Linked DNA regions of Struthio camelus. The protein of the gene in region 1 interacts with the protein of each later gene in a pairwise test. Links are inferred from orthologs where the notes say so. Each region holds a gene or a part of one and is shown on either strand. Other genes may lie near its edges.

The links.
Region 2: the proteins of UBE2I (region 1) and HNRNPC interact in a two-hybrid assay, tested with the Homo sapiens proteins (2 studies listed by BioGRID and IntAct). The two-hybrid records come from large-scale screens. The link is inferred for Struthio camelus from reciprocal best matches to the Homo sapiens genes UBE2I and HNRNPC.
Region 3: the proteins of UBE2I (region 1) and DACH1 interact in a two-hybrid assay, tested with the Homo sapiens proteins (2 studies listed by BioGRID and IntAct). The link is inferred for Struthio camelus from reciprocal best matches to the Homo sapiens genes UBE2I and DACH1.

What each region holds. Positions count from the first base shown.
Region 1 is NC_090956.1:242,564-248,672, forward strand, and holds the start of UBE2I (SUMO-conjugating enzyme UBC9), read right to left. Parts: upstream 3,888-6,109; 5' UTR 3,727-3,887; exon of another isoform or gene 3,353-3,726; intron 1-3,352. UniProt on the Homo sapiens protein: Accepts the ubiquitin-like proteins SUMO1, SUMO2, SUMO3, SUMO4 and SUMO1P1/SUMO5 from the UBLE1A-UBLE1B E1 complex and catalyzes their covalent attachment to other proteins with the help of an E3 ligase such as RANBP2, CBX4 and ZNF451.
Region 2 is NC_090970.1:27,227-33,335, forward strand, and holds the start of HNRNPC (heterogeneous nuclear ribonucleoproteins C1/C2), read right to left. Parts: upstream 3,280-6,109; 5' UTR 2,816-3,279; intron 1,200-2,815; exon of another isoform or gene 1,045-1,199; intron 756-1,044; 5' UTR 730-755; exon of another isoform or gene 47-729; intron 1-46. Other genes in the region: G-protein coupled receptor 4-like, read right to left, coding at 3,927-4,907. UniProt on the Homo sapiens protein: Binds pre-mRNA and nucleates the assembly of 40S hnRNP particles. Interacts with poly-U tracts in the 3'-UTR or 5'-UTR of mRNA and modulates the stability and the level of translation of bound mRNA molecules. Single HNRNPC tetramers bind 230-240 nucleotides.
Region 3 is NC_090942.1:179,041,389-179,047,497, forward strand, and holds the start of DACH1 (dachshund homolog 1), read left to right. Parts: upstream 1-2,289; 5' UTR 2,290-3,416; coding exon 3,417-4,174; intron 4,175-6,109. UniProt on the Homo sapiens protein: Transcription factor that is involved in regulation of organogenesis. Seems to be a regulator of SIX1, SIX6 and probably SIX5.

The DNA.
Region 1 (6,109 bases):
ATCTTTTAACTGATTTGCACCTCAAGACGTTAAATCAAGCTTTGAAGAGGGACCACGTACCACTTCCTTCCCAAGTGTAGTACATTTGTCTTCCCAATGTCTGCCTTCCGTTCCCTTAGTTCAAATGACAATTTCTTGCTCTTCCCTCCTCACAGCACAAAATTAAGTGCCATTATTTAAGTTCTGAGGATAATATATTTTATGCAAGGGGGAGGGGGAAAGATAACAGCGTGTAAAAATAGTTCAAAGCTCTCAGCTATTCTACAGCCTAGCCAAAGAGTTAAGGGTAATACTAAGAGACAGTTTGGCTCCAAAACCACTTTGACAAAATGATTTATGAGCCAAAAAGATGTTTTCCCAATTAGTATATTTTAAATGAAGAAAATATTAGGCTGATTTTCATTATTTCACAGTTAAGTGGAATCTGTGACTTAATAGCTCAGTATTTAATTAGCAGCAACTCTGCTGCTTGGGTAAAAAAATTGAGTACTTCAGTGTCTGAATGTGAATTTCACATAACACTGTAGTTCATTAATGAGCCAAATGTGATTAACTAGGATATATTGAGAAGCTTGATAAAGAAGTGTAGTCTACTAGTCTTTGCTATTCCAGTACCCTGAATACCAAAGACCTTGCAACGAAAAAAAAAAAACCACTGATAAACACTGATACTTCCCAGGGTTTTAATATTTACTTTATCCATATCAAATCAGAGAGACAGGTAAACAACTAGAAAGAAAGTCATTTATATTAGATTTAGTTGTTAGTAATACATACTTAAAATTTTTGATCTATTACAATATATAGTTAGTGGTTTTATTGCAAGTTCGAACCTTTGTCGATCCTGCCCCCCCCTCCCCCCCCCCCCAGTCAAACCTGAACTGCTGATTAAGTTTTACTGAATACAACTGGGAAAAAGTTCAACCACAGCTGGACTTGACCTCTGATATTTGTGCCTACCTCTAGCCTCTCTTCTGCAAGACTGTTGTTACAATGTCTTAGAAGGGTCCAGGGACGCTGAAGTAACTAAAATTGGTATCTTCAGGCAGTGAGTGCTACACACTTATTACTATGCAAGTAAACACCACATTAAGTTCTCCCTTCTCTTTTCATATTTTAAAGTAAATCAAGAACTGTCTTGGGAGAGTAATTTTCCTGTACTCCTGGGGACTCACTTTGAGTTTTGTGGCTCCTGCATGACTCTAAGATCGTAAGGAGCATCCAGCATAAAAGGATGTGGAAAAGGAGAATTGTCAGTTCCGGAGCTTGTCACTTTCTTTTTCAGAGCATCTAAATATCTTACATATTTACATGGCATGGGTCAGCGCCTGGTGAACCTCTTCATGAGGCTCAGAGGCTTCAGTACCCTTGCAAGAACAGACAAGTATCCAAAAAAAAACAAAAAACAAAAAACCCCACCACTCATCTCTTGTCACAAACAAAGTAGATGTGCAACTGAGACTGAAAGCTCAGTTTAGAATGAAGATCCCATTAGAATCTGCTCAAAAGGGAATCAATCTATTAACAAATTTCTAACATACACTGTCTAGCAGCTCTTCAGTAGAGGAATCGAGACATCTTGATCAAACTGCTGCTCCGCAGGAGCTTGAGATACGCTAAGCACAGATTGGTCATCTAAATATATATTTTGGTCTCAAAAGTAACTAAGTAGCAGGAAAGAGTGAGATATTATAGTAGGTAAACTAGATCTTCAGAAATAAAACTGAAGAACTCATATCCTCACTGCTATGTTTATCTTCCTCCACAATTTATGCATTTTTAATTTGCAGTAGTAGTTTCCCAGTAGCATTTTGTCCAAATGCCTAAGTTTAACGTTTAGCTCTTGCAATTTCTAGCAAATGCAAGATGTTACTATTAACTTGAAATAGTTAAAACCTGAAAAAACAGCTCTTATTAAAACCAAAAACCAAATGAAACCAAAAAAAACCCACTAACACATCTGATTTATTTCCTCCACTTGAGAAATTTATTGCTATGGAACAGAACTGAGGTCAGAACACATTAAAGGGATGCATCACTGGAAAGAACACATTCTTCTGCCCTGGAAAAATATATAAACCTTATCTTGCAGGGGCCATGCAAGCACAAGAGGTCCATCTCCACGTTCCATTTGGTTTTGCACTCCACTCCACTCTACTCCCCTCCTTCTTTCCCCCTCCCCCCCCACCGCATTAAAAGGCAGAAATGCCTCTTTTATTGCTATCAAAACATTAGGAAACGAACAGAAGCTTCAAAACTTATTTTGTAGTTTGCCTCTGCTGCTGCTGCTACTACTACCCACTTTCGGGGAAAAAATAAAAACAAGAACCACACACACCAAAATAAAACCAAAACATTTATCGTAGGAGTGAACCGGCTGTGTTCCATTACAGATCATAGCTACTTATATCCTCCAATAGGGGAGATAATAAAATAAAAATCTATTTCCAAACGTAAAAAGCAAGTCTCACAAAGAACAGTTCTGCTGCGGGAAAGCAACATCTACTACACACAGAGTTCTGACCTGTGGCAAGTCCCTAAATACATGAACAGCATGCTCTTTAAACGTCAAGAACTTGAACTAGTTCCTACTCATTTCAAACAACCCTAAAATAAACTTAAGACTCCTGGCCTCACATTCCCGCTCTGTGGGTTGAATACTAGCACAAGAATAAGTTATAAACTGGAGTAGCTTGCCCAAGAACTTGAAGACCTTTACTTTTCAGAAGAGCAGAGAAAGCCCACGGTTGTGATTTAATCAAAACAGACCAGCGCCGCACTGGGAGAGAAAACCGCCTCCTGCGGCAGGGGAAAGGGCAAAAGGGGTTACTATCCCGACACACACGGCCACCAGAGCCGCAAGCAGAACAGCCGAAGGAGCGGCGCGGCGAGAGCCCTCGGTCCGGACCGCCGCAGCAACGCCGCCCGCCACCCGGCCCCGGGCGAGCCGAGCGGTGCCTGCGCTGGCCGCGGGCCGCCCGCCTGCAGGGCCCGGCGGAGGGGCCGGGGCGGCGCCGAGGCCTGCGCGGGGCAGCTCGGCGCCCGCCGGGACCCAGGCGAGCGCTCGCCGGGGCGGGGGCCGCCTCGCGCAGGCCCGGTGCCGCCCAGCCCTCCTCGCCGCGCTCGGCCCGCGGCGGCCGCGGCCTCCGGCGGCGGCCGCGGGGCGGCGGGCAGCGCTGCGCTGCGCTGGCGGGCCCGACCGCACGGTCTCCGCAGAAGCCGCCCGGCCCCCGCGCCCCGCGGCCGCCCGGCCCGTCGTGCCGCGGGCGGGGCGCGCCAGGCCGGGCCCCGCTGCCCCGGAGCCGCGGCCGCCAGCGCGCCGCCCCAGGCCCCTCGCCCGGCCAGGCCTCACCGTGAGCGGCCGCAGCACCCGCGCGTGTCCCGGATTGAGGCGGCAGCGAGTGACCCGGATGTTCCCCACTCGGCTCCCCCCCTTTGTCTCTGGCCCGGAGTTTCCCTCCCTCTTTCCTCGGTGCAGAGCGCGGCACGATGGCGTGTCCCTCAGGCCGACCCGTCCGTGCCGCTGCGCCGGCGCGGTATGACCCTGAATCCGACCCGTCCGCCACGCTTTACGCATCCTCGTGACACAGGACCCGAGGCGCCCGGAACAATGCCTGAGTAGGGAGCGCAAGGGGAAATCCCGGGGGGAGGGTCTCTGAAGCCTTCTTCGCTTCCTCTTGCCTCTCGCCTCCTATAGCCCCGTCAAGAAACGGAGTGAATTTTTACCTCGGGCGCTGGGAGAGTCACCTGCACCCTAATTTGGCCTGGTCCCTCGCAGGGCGCTAAAGCCGGTGCCGCAGGCCGCGCCTGCCCCGGGACGCTCTCGAGGCCGACAGGACCCAACCCGCTGTGAGCAGCCGGGCCTCTGATTGGTGGTAGGAGGCCCCGCCCCTAGAGGGCCTTTCACAGGTGATTGGCTGGCTGGAGCGGCTCGTCAGAGGGGGCGGGGCCTCTGCCCGGACGCCGGCGGGGCCGGCAGCTCCGAGCCTGGCGGTTGCCGCCCCGCGTCCCGCCTGTAGCTCGAGCTCGAGCTCGGCCCGAGCCTGGTTTTTGTCTGATGCTTAAGAGGTAGATAGATGCTTTATGTACCGTGGTCGTTTCCTTTTTTTTCCTTGGTTTATAAGAACGCATTTTTAGTGGCATGTAGGCCATGAATCACATTCTGCTCCTCTGTTCGTTTTTTTTTTAATTTTACTGAAATTTAAATGATGTTTCAGTCCTCTAGCTAAAGCCTCACTGTGGTCTCTCTGTGTTAGTGGTTCTTGCATTACCTCCTATATAGCGCTTAAATTTAAAATTGTATCTCATCTTGGGAGTGCTAAAATTAACTTTAAAAAAAAAAAACCCACCTATATTTGACTTTGTCCTAATCCAAAACATGTGCTTTGTTAGAAATCTCATTGCCCGACATCCCAGCTAGTGAGTAGGCAGCGGCAAAGAGCAAGCAGTTCATCTTAGATGCATTAAAATGCCAGTTGGAGGACTTCTGTTTCTCTGTAGCCCTTGACATCTGGGATTTGGTTGCAACTGGCACTTAAAGCTGGCAGGATGAATCTAGACCTCGTTTGAAATTTTTGTTTGTGCTTTGCTCTGCTTGGCTTTTAAAATTCCAACTTAAAATTTTGTTAGATTTTTTACGCTCCTTGAATCACTGTAAACATGATAAACAATATGAAGACATAAGTTGTTTTTGAGAAAATGAAAGGGTATTGCCCAGAGAAAGGGAATAACCTACTATTCATGCCTGTAATGGAGGGGACAAGATGTCAACAGTATAAACTGCAGCAAGAAAAATGAAGGTGAGGCATTAAGAAAATATTTAATGGCAAAGATGCTAAAGCATTTGATTGCCTAATGGGTATGGGAGGGGTGTGGAGACTTCATCAAAGGAGGCTTTAAAAGTAGGTTAGACAACATGTGCTGCAAGTTCCTGCCCTTGGTCAAGGGCATGAGCTGAGTGGTATGTCTCAGCCCCCTTCTAGGCTTTTTGTTTTTATGTGTCTTTAATTAATTCATTGTCTCATTTAATCTTGTCAGTTTTGATTCCTACAGAAAGGATGGAGAGGACAAGTATTCTTTCTGGTTTTCACCTCTCTAGGCTGGTCTCGAGAACTGTTGAGCTATCAGGACAGTAGTTTTTGCCTGATGTAGTAACATCTTTGCGTTAAATCTCAAAAGTTAACTAGGCAATATTTTAAAGAGATGGCATTCCCAGCATAGATGCAAAACAAGGAAGAACTGTTTCCAGAGCTTCCACAGACATATTTGCAACAACTATATGTCATTAAAGAAACCTCTCATTCTGGAATGGGTCTGAGTTTGTGCTTGGAATCCCATGTCTCCCAGGTGTAGGGAAAGAGTTGAAATCAACTTTTCAGCCTTTGGATTCACCTCCGCTGGCCGCATACACCTTTCCGTAAAGGACTGACCTTAGGTTGGAACATCTCCCTGTTGCAGCAAGGAATGCTGAACGAGATCATGAGGCAGAACAGGAATAGTGGCACATCACAGAACTGTTTAAGAATGCAAAATAATGATTTCACCTTCATATAAACAGCCCAGATCCTTGAATCACTTGCCCTGTTCTCATCATGTCCTTATTTAGCTTATCTCCGTAACGGAGTTACTTAACAGTAACTATGTTCTCTTTGAATGAACAGTCCCTATTCACATTTGTGATTCAGCCAGTTATGTATCACAAGGATGCAAAATAAGGATACTTACCTTTCTGTGGGTCCTTGCTCTTGCATAGTTCTCTTCCTGATGCATGGATACCTGTGGCAGCATCTGCCTTAATTGCTTTATTCCTTTCAACTAGTAAATGCTGGAGTAGAGAGGGAAGCCAATTAGCAGATGCATGTACAGAAAATACATCGTGAACAGTCACAAATGACTTGGGGAATGAGGGGGAGTCTCAGAGTTCTTCAGGAAAACACCAGATGCAGATTGCTTCACTAAACAGTTACTGAATGCCATCTCAATGGCATGTCACTTGGTGAAAACATACCTGGGATGTCTGGTGGCTTCTTTGCAGAAGTTTGGAATTGAGATATTTAGCAAGGCTCTGTAAGAACATAGTAGTGGCTATGCCTAATCAGACTACAGGTCA
Region 2 (6,109 bases), on another chromosome or scaffold:
AGCTCTGGCGGCCGAAGCTCGCAAGGAAACCTACTGGCCCTCGCACCTCTTACCATGGCCCGGGAGGGGTTTATCTGCTCCGCGGCTGGCTCCGCCGGCTGCCGTCGCTCCAGGCCGGGCGTCCGTGGCATCGCGGTGGGTTGTTTTGAGGGAAGGACGGCGTAGAGGAAGAGAGCAGGACGAGGGGTTTCGGGGAGGAGGGGAGGAAAAAGGGGGACAGGAGGAGGAGGGAGGGGCCGTTCGGGGGGGAAAGGGCCGTCGCCGCCGCAGGCGACCAGCACCACAGACATCATATGGCAGCAACAGTTTAAAAATGGCACAAACGAAAGAGTAAAAATTAAAAAAATAAAAAAAAATAAAAAAAATAAAAAAAAATAAAAATACAGACTTCCAGAGACGCTCTAAAACAGTTCAGGAGAAACCGGGTCCCACTCTCAGCAGTCGGGGGAGGGGGGGGAAAGAGTTAACGTGATCAATCCACTTAAAAATTTTAAAAACCTCGCTGTGTCTCACAAAGGGTAAAAACCCAGCTCAGTCAGGAACACTCAGAAAAACTCGATTTCATCCGGTTAAAAATCAGCAGTGTCATTATCATCACCATCAGCAACATATCATCATAGTAAAGTCATCAGCATTATAGTAGTATAATAGTAATAGTAACTAGCAACAACAATAAAAAGGAAATCAGTGGAAAGGCAGGAAAAATGAAAAAAATTTTGAATAACTTACTGTAGCTGAAGATCAAAAAAATCTCGCTGTAAAAAAACAAAAATAAAAATAGCCCAGATTAGAAAAACGGGAGGTGCCGAAAGGTCAAGTCAGCAACGATCATTTCTGTTCTCTCCCTCTCTCTCACGCTCTGTTCCAGCCGCGGTTGCCAGAGGACCGCGCGGGGAGAGCTCTCGGCAGGAGACCATCAAAGCCCTTTGCACACCATCACTTCACTCTAAAAATACCCGAGAGAGGTCAGCTCATGAGGGGCTAAAAGGCTCCTCCTCTAACCCAGCTGCTGCAAAAAAAATACAGGTTGACTCTCAAAATTACATCTTAAATCCAGCTCCAGTGTGGCGCGGGGAGCAAGAGGCCGCAGGGGCACCGTTAAAATGGCTCTATAAAATCGGGAGGTGTGCGTGTGTGGGGAGGGGAGTTAATACGAAGCTGAGCTCCAGTGAGGAGGGATGGGGTTTCGCCTCGCTGCCCTGTGAAAGGAGAAGGGACAGATTGAGTCAGGGTTCCTCAGCAACGCTGCCCGCCTCTCCCGCTCCCCCCAAGAGAGATCGGCCGGCCTCCCAACGGCCCCAAGCTCACAGCTGTCCTCGCTTCCAGCTAACGCTCTTAAAACCGTCTCCGCTCTAATCCCTTCTGCTTCTCCCGTCTCCGAGGGAGCAGCTCGGACGTCAGACACCTGTGAGCTTGTGGCGGAGGGCGGATTCGTACAGGGCGATGCATCAGGCTCACACGCATAACCCTGAGGCAAGGAGGAGACGGGAGAACCGAGCGAACACACGACACATCGGATCCTGAAAGAGGATGCGAAGAGGGATCTACAAGCCAGGTCACTGGAGCTCAAGCAACCTCGGGGATCTGAGTCACAGCAGAGGCCAGAAGAAAGTCTTTTGGGTGTTTTTTTTTTTGGTTTGTTTGCTTTTTTTTTTCCCCCCCGCTTTTTAAACCCTGCCAGATACTGCAGAAGCAGGTTATTACCAGCAAAACGACAAGAGGGGGAAGGGGGGGGGGAATAAAGTTACAATCTCGGAAGGAACCAGAAAAGCTGGCGAGTGAGTATCGTGATGATGATGATGGCAGAGAGGAGCCTTTAGCCTGGAAGAGAAATACAGTGCTACATACACCCGCTCGCGTGTGATCCGGCCCGGGAGGGCGGGAAGGGGCTACGACAGGCGGCGACTGCCTCGGGCTACGGCTCGAGAGACAGGAAGGCGAGAAATGCAGAAAAGCAGTTTGTATTTATTTTGTTTTTTTTAAGGGGGGTAAGGGGAAAAAGGGGGGGAGGGAGAAATCCAGCCCCAAAAGCGGCCTGTTTTCCACCCAAATCTTCGGGCAGCGACGTCCTGTTACCTCCTCCTTCCCCCCCCCCCCCCCCCAACAACCCCGGCAGCTTTGGGGCTTCAACAGGGCCAGCGCCACGTGGAGTGTGGCCACGCCCCCTCCTGGGATGGCCACGCCCCCTTACCCCAATCCCGTCTGACTCTGCTCAGCGGGCTGGCCACGCCCACTCCAGGATGGCCACGCCCCCTCGGGGCGCTAGCCGCTTTCACCTGGCTTGACCACGCCCCCTCCTCGGGCTGGCGGCTTTCACCTGGCTTGGCCACGCCCCCTCCTCCCGGCTTGGCCACGCCCCCTCCTCCCGGCCCCTTCCCACAAGGGCTGTTTACGCAGCGCGTTCCCCCCCCCTCCACCGCAGAATGGTATCGCCCACAAGGAGGCGCCGCTCCGTTCTCCGCTTCCCCTCCTCCCCCCCCCCCTCCCCGGCTCTCGCCGTGGTCGCGCCCGGCCAACGGCTCCCCCTCCCCCCACACACACATACGGCGCTGTGGGACGCGCCGCCATCATCCCCCTCCCCCCCCTTCCTCCTCCTCCTCAAGGCAGCCGTTAACCGCCCCCCCTCCCACCATCACGGCGATGGGAAGGGTGTGTGTGGGGGGGGGAACAACGGCTGGTTCGCGCTGAGGCGGTGGAGAGGGGGGGCGGTGTGACGCCGTTAACTAAACCGGCGCCGCCGGCTCCCTTGGCTGCGGCCCAGCCCCCCCCGCCCCCCCCGCCCCACCCCGGGAGCGGGGAAACGGCGGCCACTCACCGCTCGCTCCGGCGCACGCTGCCCGCTTCTGCTTCCTCCTCGCCGCCGCCTCCCCGCTTGAGGCTGCTCACAAAATGGCGCCCACGCCGCCCTCTGCGCTGCTCGGCCCGGACGAAAGCCAGCCCAACCCCCCCCGCCGCGCCGCCGTTGGACGGCAGGGGAGGCGCTGCGCGCCGCGATTCGCTGAGCGGGGTGCCCGTCCGCGGACCAGCCAATGACAGAGGGGAGAGGGCGGGCCAACGCGCGGCAGCGCGGGAGGCGGGAGGAGGAGGCGATTGGCGAGCCTGCTTGTCACTCCAAGGCGCGAGGCCGGTGTCTGTTCTGATTGGTCGAGAGTGCTGTTCGTTTACCCCTTTCCGCCTATAAACGTGGGAGCGGCGCCGGCGCTCCCCGCCCCTAGGCGGGGCTGCCATAGACCGGGGGCAGAGGGGGGCGTAGCCCGAGCGCTGAAACCGAGCCGTTCTGCGCGTGCGCCTTGTGCTCTCCCACGGCTCCCCCCCCGCCCCGACACTCCGCGCCGGCGATTTCCTATTGGCCAGAAGACAATGACGCAAGGGCCAGGAGAGGGAGGGCGGGAGCTTCGGCACCGTCCTCGACGACGATTGGCTGAGGCGGGGCGCGGTGCCGGCAGGCTATTGTTCCATCCTCCTGTCAATCTCCCGGCCACCTCAACGCTGCACGCTGATAGGCTGGTTTGAAAGCTCGGGCACCGTTACCGGCAGCCTGGGGGCGGGGCCACCCTGACAGGAGAGGGGCGCTGCCGGGGTGTGAGGGCGGGGGGGGGGGGGGGGACGAGACCGCGTCGTCGTCGTCATCCCGGAGGCAGGAAAATGGGTTTTTTTTTTTTGGGGGGGGGGGAACGTTTGGAAAAAAAACAAAAATCGCTTGATGCGGTGAGGAAAAGTGGGGAACGGCCCCAAAAAACGAGGCTTGTTTGAGCCCCCCCCCCCCCAACTGCCGCCTCACGGGGCCTGGTCGTGTTCCCCCCCCCCCCCCGGCCCTGCCGCCAGCCCTGATCCCGGGGCTCGCTCCGTCCCGGATGCTCTTCCCGAAGCGGAGATGGCGGCGGCCGGGATGGAGGTTTGGGGGCTGGGCGGTTGGGGGGGGGGGGTCACAGCGCGGTGCACGCCGGTTGGGCCGCGTCCGGCCGGGCCGTGCCGGACACCATCGGCCGGCGGTGAGGGGCTCTGCCCCGGCCAGCCAGGCGCTTCCCCAGCTCCTCCCGCGCGTCGCCGAGGAGCAGGACGTAGAGGAGGGGGTCGGCCACGTCGCTGAGGGCGGTGAGGCACAGCGCCAGGCGGTCGTAGAGGAAGAGGCGGCTCTGGAAGGGGCAGGTGTCCTCCGACAGCAGCTGCGCCACGAACCTGGAGTAGGAGGTGGCCTGGTAAGGGACCTGGAGCAGGTAGAAGGCGGCAATCATGCAAGCGATGGACCGGGCGATCTTCCGCTTGGCTTTCCCATCCAGGCTGGTCATCTCCTTGAGCTTCCCCAGGCCGCGGAGGTAGAAGAAAGTCATGAAGAAGCAGGGCAGGAAGAAGGAGAGGGCCGCGGCGGTGGTCCTGAACAAGGCGTAGCCCTTTTCCCTCGGGCACAGCTGCTCGTAGCAGAGGTGAGGTTTCAGCATCTCCGAGGGCTGGAGGACGCCGCCCACCAGGCACACGGTGACCACCAGCGCCCACGAGGCAGCGCTCACCCCGGCCGCGCTGCGGGCCGCCTGCAGCCCGCGGAAGCGCAGGGGATGCGCCAGCCCCAGGTAGCGCGCCACGGCAATGAGGCAGAGGAAGCTGTTCTTGGCGTAGAGGGCAGCGAGGAAGGCCAGGCCCACCCCTGTGCAGGCGGCGCTGCCCCAGGGCCAAGCGTGGTCCCGCTGGCTGTAGTGGATCCAGAAGGGCAGCGTCAGAAGCTGCAGCAGGTTGGCCGCCATCGCGTTCAGCAAGTAGGCGGAGAGCGCCGACGCGTTGGCCTGGCACAGCAGGGCCCAGAAGGCCAGGGCGTTGAGGGGCAGACCGGCCACCAGCACGAGGCTGTAGATGGGGACGAGGAAATACTTGGTGGCGTTAAAGGGCACGTGCCACTGGGAGGAGTTGTCCATGCCGGGTCCTTGCGTGGCCGCGACCGAGGAAGCCGCTCTCCTGCGGTTCGCCAGTGGACCTCCGCCCGCTCCTCTCCGCTCAGCGTTTCTGCTCGAGAGAGGATGTTTCTGCACGGGAGAGGACAAAACGCAGCTCCAGCAGCATCCGTGGCGGCCGCGCGCTGGGTGTTTACCCCTCCTGCCAGCCCTCAGCCCCGCTGCCCTCCAGGAGCGGCTGCTTGCTCGTGTTCACTTCAGAGCGAACCGAGACATTTGTCCCAAAAAGCTGCGGTCAGAAAGCCGCGGTGACCCGCGCAGCTCGAAACGCCGCTGCGCAGGCTGGTGGGAACCGGGTTTCACCCCCGTTTGTGGCCTCGTGGCGGGGGTTAGCCGGCCTCAAAGAGAGCTGGGAAATGACACGCGATTAAATGAGCCGGGGCCAGGTGGGAAAGGCGCATCATCTTTCCGGTGTGCTGTATAGCATAGCTGAGTGCTGTGGGGGAGAAAACCGCCTAGTTTCACTCTGTCTTTCAGGGCAGAAATGACCTTATAGCTGCTCTTTGCCCCAACCACATGAACCGTTAGTCTCTCGGTCTGTCAGCTCTATGTAAAAGTTCCTCGCGACTCGTTCAAGCAGCAAATTATTGAGGTCTCGGCAGTCTGGTAGTTTCGTGGCTAGCACCAGCCGGAAAACGATTGAGCTTTTGGGAAGAACTGGCCTTTCCCGCTTGTCTGCTGCTAAGAGAGCACCAGGCCGCGCTTGTTACCGTTTTCCTTAATTTTTCCTTCTGGTCCTCCTTCCCCGATCCACGCTTCCCCAGGTCAAAGCGCGAGTCGGAGCAACGCGCCTGCCTCTAGCGCCTGTCCCAAAAGCCGTCCGCGCCGCACAAGCGGCGGGTCGGGGAGGACGAGCCGCCCCGCTCCGAGAAGGGAACCGCACGCCGCGCCGACCAGCGTTCCCCGCAGCCCGTAGGGCGCGAGGGGAGGCAAACCTGCCCGATCTCGGGACGGAGAAATTCCCCGCGCTTGCTCCGAGCCGGGGGACGGCAGCACCCCGTTTTTTTTGTTTTTTGCCCAAGCAACGCGACCGGCGGCGCAGTTCGAGCGGCAAGACCCTCACCTGGAAATCGCGCTCCCGCTCCGGGGCTGGCTGGACCGAAGCCGGACTCCGGTTACAGGGCGGCGAGTTTGCGCCGTCTACGGAGAGAAAAGAGCCGCGGTGA
Region 3 (6,109 bases), on another chromosome or scaffold:
TTACAGCTGCCCTCAAAATTGAAATTTAATAAAACAGTGAACTCCGTATCACTCTCTCTTTTTTTTTTTGTGACTAATAAATTGTAATCACTGTCAATAAATCTTACTGCTTTAACATACATTTTAATGTACCAAAATAGTCAAAGCAAAAAAGACAGAGGGAGAGAGAGACAGAGAGAATACCTGACCTGAACAGTTATATGAGCAGAACATAAACCCTGCTTCAAACAATATTCCAGGAAAGAAATTAAAGACTTCTTAATTAGTGCAGCAATTAAGCTTTCTTGGTCGCATTTTAATCAGCCCAGGCCCTATCAAAGGACAAACAGAGCGATTTGCAGGTCTTTGAATTTTAAACAGTCTTATTGATTTCAGCACCATAAGTCTTCACTTGACACAGGGAGAATTTTCAAATATCAGTTACAGTAATTTGAGTTTTGCAGATATCAACTCTGGGATAAAAAAGGAAAGCACCTAACAATATCATGACATGAAGGGATGAGCGAGTGACAGGAATGCAACGTAGAAAAAGTTTACAAAGAGCATTCTCAGGATTTGTTGGTGTATTTATGCGAGCGTGTGTGTGTGTGCACAAGCTAAAATAAATCCAGTCGCTTGCCATAATCGTTAGAAACACTTACCAAGCAAGAAGCTTTGGGGAGTCTTGAAGTCTTTCATAAATCTCTTTCTTTCTCCATTCTAATCCCATTGTTTCATTAAACGAGAAAGGTTAACCCAAACCTGTGGCAGTAAACCCTTTCAAACTGCATTTTCTTTAAATGGTTTTGAACCGTGATGATTATATATCCACAAAGACACAAGAAAAGCAGGAGGACTGGTGTGCATCACGTTGTAAGGAAGGTAGGGTGCAGATGAAGTAGTAGGCTTCCTAATTAAGAGTTCACTCAGTACTCCAAGTGGCAATACCACGCGTGTCTGGCTCTGTCTTAATCTTCTCAAAGGTCTGTTTTATATCTTTAGAACGTGTAAGAGAAAGGGAGACAGAAAAGGGCAGTTGAGGCAAAGCGACAATGAACAGAGCTGGTTTTCTACAACTGAAAATAGGAGGATGCAATACATATACATTTTTCAGTGTATTCCAAGTTTTATGTCAACACTACATCCTCCCACTATAATTTAAAGTTTTATAAGCTCCTCCAGACAAACGTTCCGTAAAAGTGTTCTGTACTATTATGGGTCCACGAGATTTCAAAACAAAGTGTCACTCTGTGTTTTCTTGTTTTTATTTGTCCATTCTGAAGATTTTAGTGTAGGAAATCTAAAACTTTACGAGCAAAAGACATCTTTGTGGTATTAAAACATGTTTTTCTGGTATTAAAATATAAATGTTCTCAGATATAAGAAAACAAGTTAAAGTACAGTGAGCACATAGATATATGAGAATGCTTTATATCTGATAAAGTGGAAATTCCCCCCGCACAGAATTACAATAGTTGAAATTATCCACTGTGTAGATGTGTCATCCCATGAGTCATATCTCATATAATAGTACACATTAAAAAAAAAAAAAAGGAAGCTCAGGGCACATACATGCATCACAATTACTTAAGTACATGATTTATGTTTTTAAAACCGAAAGAGCTGTGTACACCCGACCCTCTGCTTTTGCAGACGGTCCATCTCTATGAATGACTGTTTCTTTGCCCCTACGAAAAACTGAAGTGCCCTGAAGAAAAAAAAAAAGAGCAAAACAAAGCTCTCTACTTCCCTGAACGACCCCTACCATCCCACCTACCGGGGCTATCAAACATGCCCGACTCCAAGCGAAAACTCCGTCCCAAACTTCGGGGGCGGCCAGGTATGGCAGCACGCACGGGCCTGGCCAGCACGGGCAGGCAGGAGGCACACCGCCCATCCGCCACTGCGCATGTGTGGGCAAGCGCAGCAGCTCACTTTGCGCGCTAGCGGGCGGCCGGGCTGCGCGGCGCGGTCACCTGTTGCGGGCAGCGGCGCGGGAGCCGTCGTCCCTCCGCGGCCGCCCGCCTGCCGCGTTTTTAAGTTTACTTGAGCAAAACGCCGCCGGGCTCAGGCGTTTTCGCCTAGTCCCGCCGGGCCTTGGTTTTTGCACGCTTTTTTTTTTTTTTTTGGGGGGGGGGGGGAGGAGCCGCCTCGGTCCCTGCCGCGGCTCCGCGCTCCCCTTCCGCGGGGGAAGAGGGCACCGCCGCCCCCTCCGCCGGCAGTGAAAGCCATGCGGTGGCTGGACGGCGTGTAGCGGGGCGGGCTGTGCCCTTTGATCCGGCCGCTTTCAGGAAGTGCCCTGCAGCTGTGGCCGTGTTGGGGCTTCCGTGCGCGGGGCTCTGCGCCCCGCGCAGCCACCGCCGCGCCCCCCGCCGCTCCACAAAAGGTGCTCGGCGCTGCGCGGCGCGCATCCCTCCGCACCCTCAGCAGCCACTCCCGCTCCGCTAGGAGGAGCGTTTGCGGTCTCCGGAGTGAAAATAATAATAGTAATAGTCCTAATAATAATAATAATAATAATAATAGGGAGGTTTCTGCTTTTGTGCCTGTGCCCCGGCGCGGGGCAGGCTGCGCGGCCGCCCGCAGCGCCGTCTGCCCTCGTCCCGCGCCGGGAGAGCCCCGCTCCCTGCGGGCTTCAGGAGAAGCTTGAAACGCTCGTGTTTCTCCACAAACTGTGTTGACAAGCGATTGCTGAAAAGGGCTGGGAAAATTACATCTCGTCTCTGGTGGGGTGAAATATGAAACATGTAATCTAACGGTTCCTGAAGAGGAGGAGAGGGGGGAGGAAGAGGGACTTCTCTCCCTCTCTCTGTTTCCCTGCTCCGGGTTCCTGGTTGGATAATTTGGGTTAATACTAGTGAGTGAGCCTTTTGCTGCTTCAAAGGGTATTTCAAGTTGCCGGAGCTCCTCCCCTCCGCACCGTGTGACAACAACAACTCGTCCAGAGAGCGAGCGAGCGGCGAGCGGCGGCGGCAGCCAGCACTTCCCAGCTCATTTTCTCTCTGTCATTCCCCTCTCAATCTTTGATCAATGTACTTGCCAGAGAGAACCGAAGTCCTTCAAACCTCCTCCTTTTCACCTTCGTCTTTAACGTGGTGCTAGAGCAAGGACCACAAAAAGAAACTGCCCTCCCCCTCCCCTCGGCCCCAGCCCCGCCGCCCGGAGCGGACTTCTCCTCCTCCTCCTCCTCCTCCTCCTCCGTCCCCACTTGCGGGACACTTTGTGCGTTTCTCTCTCTCACTCTGCCCCCTGCTCTCTCGCTCGCCGCAGCACCTGATCCGGGGTTATTCCCCCCTTCTTCTCCCCCCCTCCTCCCTTCTCCTCTCCTCTCCCCCCTTTTTTTTTTAATATATATTTCTTTTAATTTCCCCCCTTTCCCCTGCGTGTGTGTGTGGGAACTTTCCCCCCTCCCCCTGCCCCCCTCCGCCGTATATGTGACCATGGCCGTACCGGCTGCTTTGATCCCTCCGACCCAGCTGGTCCCCCCTCAGCCTCCGGTCTCAACTTCTGCCGCCTGCACCACCACCACCACCACCTCCTCCTCGTCGGCCACCTCCTCTCCGTCTCCGTCCATCGCTCCCCCGCCGGCCGCCTCGGGGACAAACCTATTCCGGCCGGAGCCCATCGCAGCGGCGGCGGCGGCGGCGGCGGCAGCGGCGGCAGCGGCGGCCACAGTCACCTCCACCACCAGCGGCAGCGGCAGCGGCGGCGGCAGCGGCGGCGGCGGCGGCGGCAGCCCCAGCCTGGGCACCGGCGGCGGCGGCGGCGGCGGCGGCAGCAGCGGCGGCGGCGGCGGCGGCAGCGGCACCTCCACTCCCAATGCCAGCGCGGCCAGCGCGGCCGGCAGCCTGCCGGGCAAGCCGGTGTACTCGACCCCGTCCCCGGTGGAGAACACCCCCCAGAATAACGAGTGCAAGATGGTGGATCTGAGGGGGGCCAAAGTGGCCTCCTTCACCGTGGAGGGCTGCGAGCTCATCTGCCTGCCCCAGGCTTTCGACCTCTTCCTGAAGCACTTGGTGGGGGGCTTGCACACGGTCTACACCAAGCTGAAGCGGCTGGAGATCACGCCCGTGGTGTGCAACGTGGAGCAGGTCCGCATCCTGAGGGGGCTGGGGGCCATCCAGCCCGGGGTCAACCGCTGCAAACTCATCTCCAGGAAGGATTTCGAGACCCTCTACAACGACTGCACCAACGCCAGGTAAGCGCCGCCAGCGCTCGCACGCCCCACGCGGGGCCCCGCCGCCCCCCTCCCCGCCGCCGCCGTCCCTCCCCGCGCCGCGCCGCTTCCCACGGCCGCCGAGCCGGCCCGGGCCGGGGGTGAGGGGCGCCCGGCCGGCTCCCCTGCGGCCACATGCGCTCGCCCCCTCCTCCCCTCCGTGCCTGGCACCCGACCAGCCTGCCGAGCAGCCGGCTGAGTTCCTCCTCGCTGGGACAGGGAGAGAAAGGAGAAAGGGTGTTTCTGCCCCGCTGGCCCCCTCCGCTCGTGCCGTGTGCCGTTGTCGCACTGTCATTGTGCCCTTCTGGCCGCGCTCGGCCGAGGGCTGCCGGGGGCCCGGGGCAGGGCGTGCGGGCCGGGGAGTGGAGGTGTGTGTGTGTGGGGAGGGGGAGCAGCAGGGACAGAAAGTGCTTTCTGACCTCCGCCGTCCTTAGCTTTACACGTGGATGTATCTGTAAAACGGACAGCCCTGGGAAAAAGCTGTCCGAGGGGTGTTCAGGAGTGGGCGGGGAGCGGCCCTGGGTGTGCGGGGGGGGGGGGCGGTGGGGAAGGCACCGTGGGTTTCGCGTAAATCGGACGAGGCGTTGAATCGCCTTCCGGGGCACTTCCCCAGCCGAGGGCCCTATCCCGGGGTGCATGGAGGCCACTTCGCCATCAGCTGCTGTCATATATCCGAAGGGGCACGTGCACTTTTTGTATAGGTCTATGAGGCAGTTGCCACATGGCGAGCGCGGAGGGGGAGGAGGGAGGGAGGGAGGCAGGAGGTGGAGGAGGAGGAGGAGGAGGAGGGCGGGAAGACGGAGGAGGAGGTGGTGTCGGCTGATTTTTTTTTCTTTTTTTTTCTCTTTTTTTTTTTTTTTTGCCGTGGGGTAGCGGGGAGAGGTGCCAGGCGGCCGGGCTGGCCCGTTCCCCCGCCGGCAGGGCCGTCCCCGAGGAGCAGGTGTGAGCAGCGCCCTGCCCCGGCCGGCCGCCGGGGAAGCGGCAGCGCTGAATCACGCCGGGGCGCGCAGCCCGCCCACGGTTACGCGCGCGCGGCGGCCGCGCAGCTCCGCAGCCCGGGGACGGGGCGCGCACATGCCCCCTCCCCCGCCCCCACGCGAAAGAGAGCAAGTGAAAGCCCACCCTTGCCGCAGCCGGGGTGGGTAGGTGGGGGGTGGAAGCAGAGAAAGTCCCGCTGCAACCGCAGCCAGCTGCAAAACTGCGGGCCGAAGAGCGGGGGGGGGGGGGGTAACCCCCAATCTGTAGGTTACGGGGCCAAATCTGTCCGATAAGGAAAAGGGATCAAATAACTGCCGTGACTTGGAGATCAGAGCGCTGGGGAGTGTCTCCAGTGCACCGGGGCTCCCCAGTGGTTGGGGTTAGTGTGTGTGTTGGCGGGGGGGGGGGTAGTTTGCAGCGCTGAGGGTGGTGGGAACTTCACCCGGTAGCTAGCGAAGGTTTGCCACTAAGGAGACTTAGCCCAAGTCCCGTCTTCGGATGCTGCTTTCAAATAAACGCAAACAAGCAGATCGGGCTCGTTTCACTTTTCCATTGTCACATTTCGAGGTGCAGCAACAGCCAGCACGTGGAGCATTAGCCCCGTGCGAGACCGCGCTCGTCGCCTCTGGTCGCGCCCGGCTGTGACATTCCCTCCTTCCCCCCGTACCGGTGTAGCCGAGGGTGCTCGGGGCTCACTAGCAGAGAGCCAGGCAAAGCAAAACACTTCTTGTGCACCACCTCCTGCTAGATTGATTAGCGAAGTTCTTGAATATTCAGGGCAGCAGGGACAGAACAGCCTGGAATAACTTCCAAGCACTGACATACTGTAACTACTTGGGTAACTATATTGTTTCATGTCGAATCGACATAAATTTTAATAGATGCTTTTAGACGATTGTTTTCATGCAGCATGTTAAGTTGTAACATCTCTGTAGGAGT